Diceros bicornis minor: one gene and its partner. The protein of the gene in region 1 interacts with the protein of each later gene in a biochemical or structural test. Links are inferred from orthologs where the notes say so. Each region holds a gene or a part of one and is shown on either strand. Other genes may lie near its edges.

Region 1 (7,735 bases):
TCTTCCTTGGTCAGTGGCTTGGTCTCTTTTCCAGTTCCATCATCTATACTATCCTCTTCTGCAGCCCATAACCAGGGTCCTGTAATGGCCTCTGGCCTTGTGTATTTTCTGGACCAGAACCATGAATCAACAGTGTCCTGTTCCTCCTCTGGCCTAGATTTCCAGCTGCCTCCACTGGCAGGATACATACAGGGATTTTCTTCTGCCCAGAAGCAAGACTCAATATTGATCTCTTCAGCCTCTGCCATAAATGTGCATCTAGTACCAGCCCCATACTTCATATTGACCTCTTCTGTAGTCCCAAACCAAGATGATGATATAATAACCTCTTCCTTGTCCTCCAGGCTAGACTTGTTGCTGACTTCTGCCCCCACATAACCTTCTACTCCAGCCCAAAACCATGACCCAATAATAGGTTCTTCCTCCTCAGCCCCTGACATGGTGTCACAGCTGACTTTAGCCCCATAATCCATCTGGCCCTGATTTCCAGCCCAAAACCAGGACCCAAATATTTTCTCTTCTTCAGCTCCTGGACTGGCCTCTTCTCTAAACTCAGCCTCTGTATTGACTTCTCCAGCCCAGAACCAGGGACCAATGACCTCTTCTTCCTCAGACCTTAGCCTGGACCCACAGCTGGCCCCAACACCAGCTTCCACACTGGCCTCATCACTGACCCAAAACCAAGACCCAAAAATGGTCTCTTCCTCAGCCTCTGGGTTGGTCTCTCCAGCAGCCCAGAAGCAGGAACCAGCAATGACCTTTGTTTTATCATCTGGTAGCAGAGATTTGGAAATGGCCTCAGCCCCAGTTTCCATACTAGTCTTTTCCCCAAGCCCATGCGTGGAATTGCCAATAGGCTCCTCCTCAGTTCTTGGTCTGGATTTACTGCTGACCTCAGTCCCCATATTGGCCTCTTCCTCAGTCCAGAACCAAGTGCCAACAATGGACTCATCCTCCACTTGAGAACCGGACTTGACACTGGCCCCACCCACTATGCTGGATTCTTTTGCAGCCCAGAAACAGGTCCCAATGAGGAACTCCTCCTCCGACCTGGCTTTTTGCTTGTCCCTGGCTCTGGCCTTGGTTTTGGCCTCTTCCTTTGCCATTGCTTTGGCCCTGGCCTCTTTCTTGGACTTGGGCCTTGACAAGTTATTAGCCTTTTCTCCAGGCCAGAACCAAGGCTCTTTTTTGACTATATCTATAGACCCAGACATGAAATCAACAGAAGCTTCTCGCTTGGCCCTGTGCCTGGCCCTGACATTGGCCCCTTTCCTGGCTCTGGGTTTGGACCTGGATTTGGCCTCTTCTCCAGCCCAGAACCAGGACTTCACATTGTTCTCACATTCAGACCCAGAACTGAACTCAGAGACTTCTTTCTTGGACCTAAACCTGGACCTGCTATTGTTCTCTTCCCTGGGCCTGGACGAGATATTGGTCTTTTCTCTGACCCAGAACAAGGATGTCTTAACAGATTCATCCTCAGAACTAGAACTGGACACAATATAGCGCTCCTGATTGGTTTTCGGCCTAGACAAGGCCTCTTTTTTGGCCATGTGCCTGGACCTGGTATTGGCCTTTACCCTGTCCCTAGGATGAAACCTTGTACTAAAATCTTCTCCACTCCAGAACCAGGAACTCATAGAAGATCCATCCACCAATCTGAAATCACAATTGTGACATGCCTCTTGTTTCCATGTAGGCCAGGGACAGCACCATGACCGGATATTGGTCTCCTCTGACCCAAACAAAGGCTGGATTCCTGACTGAGACTTGACCTTGGTGCCAGGAAAGCACTCAGTATCCACATTAATCAATTCCCTATCCATAGACAAAGTCTTAGTTTTAGCAACTGACCCAGACTCAGTACCAACCAGTGCCCAGGCTATGGCACTGGTCTGGGACACTCCCTCTGTCTTCAACATTGCCTCAGCATCAAACACAGTCTGGGCCCGTGAATGGGCTTCATGCATGCGTGTTGCACCAGGGATTACCTTGGCCTCTGTTTTAGGATGTGTCCCACCTTCTGCCATGGCCTCAGTTTTGGGTCTTGCACCAGGCAAAACATGGGTCTCAGTTTTGGGCCTTGCCCCAGCCATTGCCTGGAACTCAGTTTTGTGCCTTGCCCCAAACATAGCCTGGGACTCAGTTTTGGGCCTTGCCCCAAACATAGCGTGGGTCTGGCTCCTAACCTTGGGTCTGACCACCAGTGGGACTTCATTCTCTCTCTCAGCCCCACCCCCAACCTCTTCTCCAGGCTTCTTTTCAGGCTTAGCCTGGGCGCCAGGCTCAATCTCGGCCCCAGTCATAGTACAAGTTACAGAAGAGACTCAGGTAAATACTCCTACCCCAGTCTCAGCCTCTACCACAGGATCTGTCACAGTTTTTTATCTTCACGCTCTGATCCGTCAGTGATTCAGGAGACGATAGAGTTGGAAACAAGAGTTAAAGTCAATCGCCAGTCCAGCAGTCAATCAGCCTCCTTCTCAGGCCCAGCCTCAGCCAATATTACAGACAAGAGTGCAGCAGAAGCACAACCAAGCTGGGGGAGGATGGATGGTTCCCGGGTGGGTGCAGACCTGTAGAGGGTGGTGGTCAGCAGCAGTTCCAACACCACCAGAGCTGCCACTGGAGGTGGATGGATCTAGGAAGAGAGAATGTCATGGGACTTTGAGTCTCTTTCAATTGTGTCGCTCCACGCGGAGACTCACAGAGACTGGACTTTGAACGCTTGGTGAGACACTCAGATTAGAGAGTCTTTCTGTCACCGACATTTCGCCCACACCCTTCACCCCCAGAGCTGCCACGGTACTTTGCCTGCTACAAAACAGGTGTGAGGTTGGTGGGAAAGTGTGTTGGCAATGAGAGAGGCTGAGAACCCCCAGACTAGAACCTAATCACTCTTTGGTCTGTGTTGGTCTCCACTCCCAGCCCAAGTTGTACCCACTCTCATACCAACCTGCACTGATGGGGTGCAATTTCCCCTCCTTGCTTTGTTCCAGTGGAATTAAGCCCTATAGCAGACAGCAGGCCATCCTACAGACAACATACAGGAGAAAATGGAGTCTGAGTGCTTGGCATTCAGGCAGACACCCTGACCCCTGATGTAAACATCTCTCTTCCTGTTTAAGGGTCCAATTTGCCTAACGTTACATGTCTCCTGGTCCCTGTTCCCAGGTCTTCTCCTCCCATTCACAGCCCAATCCACAACTACCCCAATATTCCTAATAGCTCCTGCAGGAAATGGACAAGGGATGCTGCAGCACTGTGCAAATCTGGCAGAGAGTAGGACAGGAGAATCAAAGACACCCAACTGGATCAAACACCAATGATCTTACTCTGTAGCTGTCCCCTGCATTGCCCCTCTTCACACCAACCTCCAGAGATTTGAGCCAGTCTCTTCCTCCTTTCCTTCCCTGCAGAGGTGATCAGCCTTAAAGCAGGCCTATGAACAAAGAGGCGAAAAATAAGACAGCAAGGAAATAATGGTAGCAACTCAGTGCTTGGTAGTCCGACAAACACCAAGGATAAAAAGTACCCATATTATCTGTCTTTTAACATTTAGTGTCCAGTTGGTACAATATTCTTTAATGCAACCCCTCTATTTCAAGTTTCTGGATAACTCCTCCTCTTCCCATCACTCTCCTCATCACTCCCTTCTCCAATTCTGAGGATTCACAACTAGGTGTTCACAGTTCCCTGCGCCGCACACCATAAATTGGAGAAAGTACCCAGCATATTCTAGACAACAGATTTTCAAGTGGTATTTGTAATTATGACTCCCTTGTCACATCCACCTCCAAAATCCATCATTTAGTGCCAATTAGAGAAGAGCAGGGAAGGAAAGCAAGGGAAGTGCCTACAAAGCTGGTAGAGAGGAAAACTTGAGGAGGTACTCCTGGATGCCTGACCTGCTCTGGTCGCAGTCAGCCCACCCCCATTCGGCTCTCCAGTCAATGGCGGCTGCCCACCCCCCATCCCCACACACCTCCAGAAATCCAGGCAACTTTCCTGCTCCTCCTTGCTCGCAAGTGTCTCCTCTACAGATGCACCCTGCAGCCTGAAGTCGCCAGACCTACCGCGCAGACAGGAGACTTCGGCATTAACGAGGCGCCTGTGGGAAGGGACAGCACCCAGGACGCGGGGCCCAACAGGCCCCTTTCCAGAATCAGGGCCCAGAGCAGCCCACACCACTGTCCCGCTCCGCCGGCTCGGCGCAGAGCTCGGACACCACCCCCGCCCCGCCGGCCTCCACGGGCGCCCCCCGACCCAGCTCTCGCTCCGCTCCGCCATTTCTCCCGCAGCAGGCTCCCCCACAGCCCTCTCCCAGCACAGACACCGTCGAGGGCGGGGCGCGGGCGCCCGGAAAGCCGGCTCGGGAGCGCCGGGCGCGATTCGCCTCCAGAGGATCCGCGGGAGTCTCTCGGGCCAGCCCCTGCGCCCTGGCCCCGGCCCGCGCCAGTGGCCGCCTCCTCAGCGCCAGGGGTCCCCCGGCGCTGCGCACCTCTCTCAGCGACCGGCTCCGACCGGCTCGTCTCCTCCTTGCCAGGCTGCCAGGGTCTGGAGGGCGGGCTGGAAGCCGGTCGACAGTGGGGGACCACCCCCGCGCCCCCCACGACACCCCCACTTGCCTCTCTAGGCTCAGGGCCCAGGTCGTCGGCCTCCCCCTCCTCTCGGAGCTCCTCACTCGGAGTCCCACCGCTTTCCGCGCAGTCAGATTTCCAAGAGGCGGCCCGCCCCCCGCACCGCTGCACCAAAACGGGCAGGGGCTGCGCAGGATGCGGCACGAACAGCTCGCGGCGAGGGGTGTCGGGAAGGGGGGCGGAGGGATACGGCACGAATGGGCTCGACGCCCCCTCCCAGGCCCACCGTAGTTCCGACCCAGAGGGGGCGGGGACGGGAGGAGCTCCAGCCCGAGGGGCGGGCTAACACCAGCCTGCCTCAGTAGCCCTCCGCGGCCACCTACGTGGCGACCACCCCCTCATTGCCGGCACTACGATATAGGGGACCGGCGGGTGGTTGGCGCTGGGGGCCAGGATCGGGAGGAGCCGCGCTGGAGGGAGCAGCGGATGGATACCAACCGCCCCTCAGTGTCTGTGGTGTGTGTGTGTGTGAACCCCCCGACTGCTCCGAGTGTGCCCACCGCCCCCTCCCCACCCGCCCGCCATCCTTCCGGAACGCTGATGGGAGAGGGGCTTTGAGGACCGCAGGCTGGGAGGGGAGAGGCGATTTAAGGCCAGACCGCCCCGGAGGTTCTGGGTGGGAGCCCTCCCAAGTTCTTGTTTCATTGCCTCATGGGGCTGCGGAGAGGAGGGAGGTGGGAGGGGGCTCCCATGGAGGCCTCACCACTGCCCCTCTTCCAGAGGAAGGCAGACCTAGACCTCTAAGGAAACAAACCACTGGTCTGTGCCCAGAGTCCTTCTTTCTGCCACAACGCTTGCTTTCTCATTCGAAATGGTAACACACTTGACAATTTTGTGGTCCCCACAGTTGCCTAAGAAAGAGGCCTTTCCTTGTCAGGACCCACACCCGGTCATACAACCCTCTTTCTCTGTTGCCCCACAACCAAGTGTCAGGCACCAGGTAGGGCTGGTCCTGGCTCCTCTTCCACTGGTCTGTCCAGTCTTCTCTGGCAGTCACTTCAAGCTCTCCTGACCTTTGGCAGTGTGGAAATGTGGCAGAGATTACAACCAACTTGGATCTCAGCCACTTGCCATACACACTTGTCTAGTTTTCCCAGTCATTCCTGGAGAAGGCCCCATCGTGCACCCACTTCCTCAAGACAGAAACCTGGTGGTTCTTGAATCCTGTACATTCATCCCTACCTCCTTCCTCTAGTCTTGAACCCCTCCTTTCTGCACTCCGTGGGGCAAACAGAGCAATGGTGCGTAAGCACAACCAGGGGTGAGTACAAACCTGCTGGCACTGTTGCCCATTTTAAAACCCAATTAAATGGCACTCTCAGTGTGGTAGGCTGAATAAAGGTCCCCCAAAGATGTCCACGTCCTGTTCTCTAGAACCTGTAAATATGTGATGTTACATGGCAAAGGAGAATGAAGGTTGCAGGTGCAATTAAGATTGTGTGGGAGATCAAGATCTGGCCACCCTGGAATATATCTCTTTACCTTGATTGTTTTCTCTGACGGACATTTGACCTCCCCCACTAACTGCCTAAAGAATTTGACATAGTAACTCCTTCCTGGAACACATCTTCTATCTGATGGCTGTAATATAATGTAAAATAGATGTTACAATAGAAAAGGCACCAACAAGCCCATCTTATCAGAAGTTCTGTCTCTCTGGCCACATTCTCTGGATGGCCCTGCAAGGAGTTGCCAGATAAACATTTACATTTATAAGGGAAATCTCCATTTGTAAAGGTATCTCCCTCTCTGTATTGGGAAGAGGGGAAATGACCTCATTTCTAGAAACTTATCAATGTGGAAAGTGAGGCCTTAAATCTGCATAATAACCTTACTCCTGTTTACTGTGCTTTAGTGGTAATCTCCTGTAACTGACTCCCCCCACCCCCAACATCCTCCTTTGTCCTTAGCTGAACATGGTATTTAAGACGAGAATTTCTGCTGTTGTGTTGAGAAATGCAGTTTCCCTCGTTTCTCCCATGTATACATGTTATTAAACTGGGTATTATTTTCTCCTGCTAACCTGTCTTGTTAATTATTTGGCCAGCCATAAGAACCTTAAGGGAAAGGGCAGAGGGGGATTCTCCCTCTTCCCCCACAATTGCTAATCACCTGAATTTAAAATAAGATTACACTGGATTATCCTGGCCAATGCAATTGCAAGGGTACTTTAAATGTGGAAGAGGCAGGCAGAATAATCAGTGTGACGGTGAAGTAGCATGAGAAAGACTTGACAGGCCCACAGGTCCCTTGCTGGTTTTGAAGATGGAAGGAAGCCAGAGGCCAAGTAATGCCGGCAGCCCCCAGAAGCTGGAAAACACAAGGAAACAGATTCTTCCCAGAACCCCTGGGAGGAATGAAGCCCCGCCTTCACCTTTATTTTAGACCAGTGAGACCCTTTTCAGATTTCCAACCTCCAGGACAGTAAGATAATAAATTTTTGTTATTTTAAGCCACCAAGATTGTGGTAATTTGTTACAGCAGCAGTAGGAACCGAATTCACTCACCATCCTGATAAAGTCCATTCCCCTTGACTTTCTTTACTTGGGCTTCAGCTCCTGGGAGGATCAATTTTGGGGCTCATCTCTCACCACTATAACCACCCTCTCCAGCAATCCTCTTCTCTCCGTTTTCTAAAGAAGAGATTTTTGCAGTGGTCTTTGAGGCTTACTTGGAGAAAGTCGCTATTTGCTAAAAATCACTGATGTTTTTCAGGGTGAAAAGGGAATCGTATTCTTACCATGAATTTACAATTTGTTTTTAGATATTTATTATAACTCTGCAATATTTTGGTGACAGGAAAAAAACATCTGGAGACGATGCTATACAGTATGTGGAGACAATGGATGTCAATTTTCAGAGGAAGGCCTCTTTTACTGTACTATTTAAATAGGCTTTGCTGAATTGTGGACTTTTTTCCTTTGTTCCAAAGTATACTCTCTTGGGCTACTGCCAGGCTTGAGGAAGGGAGTCTGAGCTCTGCTGGGATCTGTGGATGTATGTGGATCTCTGTGGCTCTCTGAACTGCTTTCTTCTCTTTCTTAAAGTTACTTGTGTCTGTCATCCCTTCAACAAGTATGTATTGAGTACCTTCT
Region 2 (6,953 bases), on another chromosome or scaffold:
TGGCCCAGGATTTCCCATCTGTTTTTGTTTTTTTTTTTTACCCTGAAGTCAAGGATGGGGACAAGCTCCAAGCAGACCCAAACCTTTCAGTAACCCAGGCTTGGAGGGCTGTGTCTACTCTGCTCCACCAAGAGGAGGGATGGACTCAAGAATCTCCTGAGCTCCCAGGAACTCATCACCCTCCATAGTGGGGAAACTCTGCCGAGCAGAGACAAGAACGATGGGTTCTTGTGTTTTTGGGGGGTGACTTTCTAGTTTTTGCTCTGAGAGGTAGCGTAGTGTGGTAGTCAGGAGACTGGCATTTTTTTGTGTATGTGTGAGGAAGATCAGCCTTGTGCTAACATCTGCCAATCCTCCTCTTTTTTTGCTGAGGAAGACTGGCCCTGTGCTAACATCTGTGCCCATCTTCCTCCACTTTATATGGGACGCCTCCACAGCATGGCTTGCCAAGCAGTGTGTTGGTGTGCAACCGGGATCGAACCGGCGAACCCTGGGCCACCGCAGCAGAGCGCACGCACTTAACCGCTTGCGCCACCGGGCCGGCCCAAGGAGACTGGCTTTTTGAGTCACACAGACCTGGCTTGGCATCCCAGCTCTGGCTTGGGCACTAAGCTAATCTCTGCAAAATGGAATAATAATAGTAGAACCTCATGCCTATAGGGCTGCTGAGGATTAAATGAAATAATCCACAAAGCATTTAGCCCAGTGCCTGGCACACAGCAAACTCTCTATAAATGGCAGCCAACATGATTATTTATGAGTTGTCACCACAGAAATGAGATTGCCTTTTAAAGATAAATAGACTAGAATGCTCACATCCAAGTAAGAATTGAGCTCTTCAAAGTACTCTCTGTGGGAGGCCATGAAAGAAACCCCTTCCCATGCCTTTCCAGTTTCCATGTGTTCTTCCAATGTCCTCAAGGGGGGCAATTCACGTGCAATTGGCACGTGTCTTAGTCAGTTTGGGCCGCTATAACAAAGCACCATAGACTGAGTGGCTTACACACAACAGAAATTTATTTCTCCCAGTTCTGGAGGCTGGAAGTCTGAGAGGGTCAGCACGTCAGGTTCTGGTGAGGACCCTCTTCTAGGTTGCAGACTGCTACCTTCTTGTTGTATTCTCACGTGACAGAGCAGAGGCAGCAAGCAAACTCTTAAAAGGGGCAGTCCACAACAGCATGTATGTTTCCTTAGCCATTATTTCACTCATGTACTTGGTCATCTGCATATCTCTCACAGCTTCTTGACTGTGAGCTCTTTCAAGAGAGCAATGGTCTTACTCAACCTCACGGTTCAATAACTCATGCTCATGCAGCCTTTCTCAGTTGCACCAATCCTGCACCTCTCCACTTTATAGATGAGAAAACTAAGGCTCAGTGAAGTTAAGGGAACTCTTTTTCTGTCTGTTGCCTACACGATAGCTATGACTTTCCACCATAGCATTTCCGTACCCAGGAGGGACTCAAAAAACATTGCAGAATGCAATTTTTAAAAGTTCCCTTCTGCCCCGTATGACCAGAGCACGTGATTGGGGCGGGGATGGGGGGTGGAGTCAGAAGAGGGCAGCAGTAACCCCTGGTTGGGACCAGACTGGGGAAAGCCCCAAATGCACTGTCAAGGAGTGAGGGTAGACTGATTTGGTTACAGCTAAAAGCCAAGAGCAGGGGTGGAGCTGGGAACTAGTATTGCAGTTCCAAATAAGATGTGATTACAGAGTTTATACAAAAGGTTTTAGGCGCTTAAAAGAATCCCTTCGTCCTATATTAATCGATATCTGCTGTTTCCCTCATCAACATGGGAGCTCACCAAAGTTGGAATTGAGCTTCCCATTCCATCACTCATTGAGCATCAGGGACTGTAGCAAGGTGGGGGTACAGATGCGCACAAGAACTGTTGTAGAGTGATGCACAAAAATCCAATGATTACACAAACAAATACGTGGGGAATTCTGTAAAGAAGAGGTGCATGATGCTATGAGAACAAATAACAGAGCACCTGGTCTAGGTGGTGGAGGGAGGTGCAGTCAGTGAAGGTTTCATGGAGGAAGTGATGTTTAAGCTGAAACTTGAAGGATGAATAACATTTAGCCTGGGGAAGTGGCCGAGCCTTCCAAGTAGAAAAGAGAGAGTGTGCAAATGTCCTGAGGTAGGAAAAAAATTGGCTTGTTGGAGGGGTAAGGAGGGTGCCAGAACTCTAATAAAAGTAGCCTTCCTTCCTGTCCCAATTTCTCTCCCCGGCACCAGAAAAATCTCTGAGTACCAGGCCCTTTGGGACAGCGGAGAGAGTTTTGGCAGCACATGTGACCACACAGCAAAAATCATCTGTCTGATGAGTCCTTAGACGGTTGAGTGGGAAAGCCTTGGGGTGGGGAGTCCGCTATAGCTGGTAAGGGGTCTTGGATAGTAGCTGGGAGGGGCAAAGAGAATGGGGAGGAGGGTGAACTTGGGAAATCTGGTTTTGTTCTTTCCGGGAAAGGGTAAGAGCCTTGCACATAGATGGAGGACTCAAGTCAGAGAGTGATATGAGTGAGGGGTCCTTGCTCAGCCACTCACAGGGCCAAGAGCATCACCCCAGAGTTTAGAGCTCAGGAACACCAATGTTGTCCCGTGGCAACTCCCCCCCACCCCAGGGCCTTTATTTATCCAACCAGTATTTCCTGAGCACCCATTGTGACCCCAGCCCTCTGCTAGGTGCAGGGATCAATCAGGCCTGGTCTCCCCAAGGAGGAAACACACTTAGAAATAATTTCCATCTGGGATAATTTAGTGCCTTGCCTAGTCTTCTCGTCTGTAAAATCGGGATACTAACCATAGAATGTACTCCAAAGTGTTGATGCACGGATAAAGCGCCTATCATAGTGCCTGGAACAGAGTAAGGGTTGGTAGAGAGAATGTTCTGGGAAGGACATGAGCCCCAAAAAGGAAGATGGCTCTGGGTCTGGGCTGGTCAGGTTTGGGAGAGGATGTGGGAAGTGCTTCCCTTTCCATCTGCTCCTACAGCCACCAGAGTGATCCTTAAGGTGGTCTTTGTGACCCTGCCCACCACCTCATTCCATTCTCCCCACCCTCGCTCCCTGTCCTCTCCTCTTCATGGCCTCCTTTTGGTCCGTCTGACCATAGGATCTTTGCACATGTGGTTCCTTTGTCTGGAATGCTCTTCCCTTGTTTCTTCTCTAAATTAGTTCCTCCCCAAACTTCACCTCTCACCTCAGGTGTCATTTCCCCAGGGAAGCCGTCCTGACCTCTGGGTTTTGTAGGCCCTGCCACAGGAATGCTTCACTTTCCTCAGTGTGTAACTCTGTCTTCATTAGTGTAGTGTTAGGATTGATGTCTCTCTCCTCCACTGGGCTGCAAGCCCCAGGACGCAGGGGCCGCATCTGATTTTGTGCAGTGGTGGATCCCCAATAGTACCCGGCTCTTATATTTGGCACCAAAAAAATATCAATTGAGCGAATGAATGGGGCGCAAGAAAACCACGGATGATAACAGTTATTTATGGAGCACTTATTGCGTGCCCGGCACTAAGTTCTTCACTGGCATCATCTTATTCAATCTCCCCAACAACCCTGTGAGGGAGGTGATGCGATTATCCTCATTTTACAAACGAGGAAAATGAAGTCGAGAGAGGTTAAGGGACGTGTTCAAGGTCACTCTGTTCGTTGGTGCAGGGGCGAGAGGCAGGATTCATGTTCAGGTCCTTCTGACTTCAGAGCGGCAACGGGTGGGGAGGTAAGTCGCGGCAGGGGTGGAGGTGCACTCGAGCCTGCGGAGCATCCCTAGGAGGGAGTGGGAAGCCTCCCAGCCCAGCTGCAAGCCGGTGGTGCAGCGCCCGCCCCCGGTCGCGGGCGCAGACTGGCGGCCGCCTCCGGGCCACGTGGTGCGCGCGGCGGGCGCGTCCGAGGAGCCCGCAGCGGCTCCCGGCTCAGAGCGCTCCGGGCCAGGACAGCGGGCGGGCGCCGGGCTCAGGGCGGTGCGAGCGGCGAGGCAGGCGGAGGAGGAGCAGAGGAAGCCAGGTGGCCGGGGCGCTGCAGCTGGCGGCGTCGGAGCCGCAGCCTCGGGCCCCGGCGCGCCCCTCGCACCAGGTCTCTGCGCCCAGGGCGCACGGTGGGGAGGGAGGCGGCGCCGGCTGCCCGGCCACCATGGAGCCGGCCCCCTCCACCGACGCTGAGCTGCAGCTCCCTCTCCTCGCCAACGAGTCGGACGCCTTCCCCAGCGTCTTTCCCAGCGCGGGCGCCAATGCGTCGGGGCCGCCAGGCGCACGGAGCGCCTCGTCCCTCGCCCTGGCTATCGCCATCACTGCGCTCTACTCAGCCGTGTGCGCCGTGGGGCTGCTGGGCAACGTGCTTGTCATGTTTGGCATCGTCCGGTGAGTCCGCTTTGGGCTGGCGCCGCGGGGCTGGGCCTCGGGGTGAGGGTGGGGACCACGGACTTGGGACCCTGACCTGGGACCCCGGACTCCCGGGGTCTGCGCACTTCCTGCAGGGGGCACCGGGGACCCAGCGGGGAGACAGCTTCCATTGAGAGGAGGACTGGAATGTGTGTGTGTAACTAAAAAACATTCCATCATCTGTTGTCATCCCCGTCTCCATCAGGCTATGTGGGACAGTTTGGCGACAGTTTGTGTGTCTGTCACGGTTTGTGAGTGGGTGATTCTGTTTGTGACAGTACAAATGTGTGTTTGGACCTCTAAAAACCTCGTAGGGGTGGGCAGAGATGCCCGAGGTGCCATGGGCCTCTGGGGAGACAGCTGTGTGTGGGTTGTCCATGCAGGTGGGCACAGGAGAGTGCGTGTCTGCACCATGCTGTAGGGCACTTACTAAGTCACATTTGGTGATCATCTGTTGGGGTCCCTGTGTTGTTGTGTGCTTGTCCCACACTGTCAGTTGTGATTCGGAGTATGTGACAATGTGACTGTGTTGTTCTTGTCAAACCTCTGAGCCCCTGGGGGGAGGAGAGCATCCAGAGAGGCTTTGGACACTTGTGTTCGTGCACCTGTGTGTGTGTTTGCTAATGCCCCATGTTCCTGGGGACAGGGGGCAATGGCTGTGGGCGGCCCAGTCGGCTTTCCGCTTCCTTCACCAGTGGCCATCTGGTCACGAGCTCAGGAGTTGATTGAGAGAGGCCTCAGAGCCTTCTCGCAAATGCCCCTCATTTTCTCCTCCTCTCCTCTCACAGCCCTTTTTTCTGCCAAAGGCCGCAGTGGTTTGTTAGGGCTGGAGTGGAGTTTGTGCTTTCACCTCGGGAAGCGGAGTTCTCTTCTTGGTCTCTAGGCACGGTGCTGGGACTTTCGCAGAGCTCAAATATCATCAGCTTGCCCAGAAGCAGCCTTCCTGACCCAGCTCTGCCAGCTCAGACAGGGGCAAAAAGGGTGGAAAGGAAACTCCTATCCTATGACCACAAAGATGCCCTGGTGTTAACTGTTGGTTGGAAATGGGTCATCCGTGCTGGTTGACCAAGGGCACGGTCCTAAACCTCTCTGGGCTGTGGTGTCACCAGGCAGAGCAGATGGCAGACGGCAGATTGTGGGCTCAGAAGTTGGAGATGTGAGCTGTGATCTCAGCCCAGTCCCTGGTGCCCGTCACAGCAGAGGCCTCATTTCTCCTGCCCCACCATCTGCCTCAGTTTCCCTGTCTGAAGAATAGAGACCCAGTCTCCTCAATTGGGAGTACGAATTCCAGAGTATGGGGTCTCTGCAGGGCAGAATGTAGTGCATTCGAGCATTGGAGGGGTGGGTGTGGGTGTTGAGGGAGTTTTGGCATCGATGATCTCTGGAGAGATCTTTGCTCCTCCAGGAAGAGTGGAGGGCACGAGAAGCTCCTGTGCCTTCAGTGACTCATCACCAGCTGCAGTGGGAAGATTCCCCGAAGCACAGGCAGGATTGATCTTTGCTTTGCGTTTTTGTCAATGATTCTCCCCACTTTGCCTTTGGAGGTAGTGCAGGCTTTAGAATGGGCCAATCTGAGTATTAATCCCAGCTCTTCCACAAACTGGCTCTGTGACTTGGGTAAATCCCTTAGCCTCTCTGAGCCTCAGTCTCTTCATCTGTAGAATGGGGTAATAATAGAACCTTCTTCAGTAGGGTTTTTGTGAGGTGTCAATGAGCGAGTATATATAATGCAGCCGGCCTGGTGCCTGGACCCAATAAATGGAAGCTGCCTGTGTGCTGAAGAGGAGGAATTTTCCAGATCCTTCAGAATACAGTGCCTATTAAAGAAGGGAGTGAGGGAGGCGCTTGTCCTGAGGTGGGCCTGGGGGTAGCTCTGACTCTGAGAGGTCCAGGTTCCTGGCACTGCGCTCTCTGGGGAGGTCCTGGGAGCTCTGTCTGGGGGAAGCTGGCCTCTTGTCTGTTCCACAGCATGCCCTGTCTCCCTGCCTCCACCTCTCCCTGATCCTGGTTTCAGCAAGTTCACACCCTGCTGTGTCTCCTACCACCCCCACCACCCCCCTCCTGCCCCGTTGCTTCTTCGTGACTCTCTTTCAGGCTGTGTGCTACTCAGTGCTGAGCCCCTCGATCTCTCTCTCGGCCCGTGTCTCTTCTGACTCTCCTTGGATCAAATGCTGGCTCTGCCACCTCCTAAAATCTTCAGCGAGTTGGGTCACCACTCTGCAGCTCAATTTCTTCGTCTGTACAGTGTGGATCATGTTACCTGTCTCATAGGCACCCTTGTCCTAAAGATCGGATAAGACGATGTTGGTAAAGCGTCGTGTTTGCTCTCCCATCCCAGGTGACTGCAGCACAGAGCAGGGAGGGGAGGTTGGGCCAGGCAGTGTGGGCTGGGGCGGGTCACGACAGGTGAATGAGGGGTTCTGGTCATCCCTTCTGTCTATTACCAAGGTGCCAGGGGTTGCTGGGACAGGTGCTCAAGTGTGGGCTTTGCAGAATTGGGAGCTCTGAATCCCTGTCTTGATTTTGGAGGCCCAGCATGAGCGCCTTGCCTTCTTGTCTCCCTTCCC

Evidence for each region.
Region 2: the proteins of GPRASP1 (region 1) and OPRD1 form a complex in vitro, tested with the Homo sapiens proteins (2 studies listed by BioGRID and IntAct). The link is inferred for Diceros bicornis minor from reciprocal best matches to the Homo sapiens genes GPRASP1 and OPRD1.

What each region holds. Positions count from the first base shown.
Region 1 is NC_080781.1:95,539,591-95,547,325, reverse strand, and holds the start of GPRASP1 (G-protein coupled receptor-associated sorting protein 1), read right to left. Parts: upstream 3,022-7,735; 5' UTR 2,957-3,021; intron 2,642-2,956; 5' UTR 2,307-2,641; coding exon 1-2,306. UniProt on the Homo sapiens protein: Modulates lysosomal sorting and functional down-regulation of a variety of G-protein coupled receptors. Targets receptors for degradation in lysosomes via its interaction with BECN2.
Region 2 is NC_080752.1:44,095,202-44,102,154, forward strand, and holds the start of OPRD1 (delta-type opioid receptor), read left to right. Parts: upstream 1-3,945; 5' UTR 3,946-4,138; coding exon 4,139-4,365; intron 4,366-6,953. UniProt on the Homo sapiens protein: G-protein coupled receptor that functions as a receptor for endogenous enkephalins and for a subset of other opioids.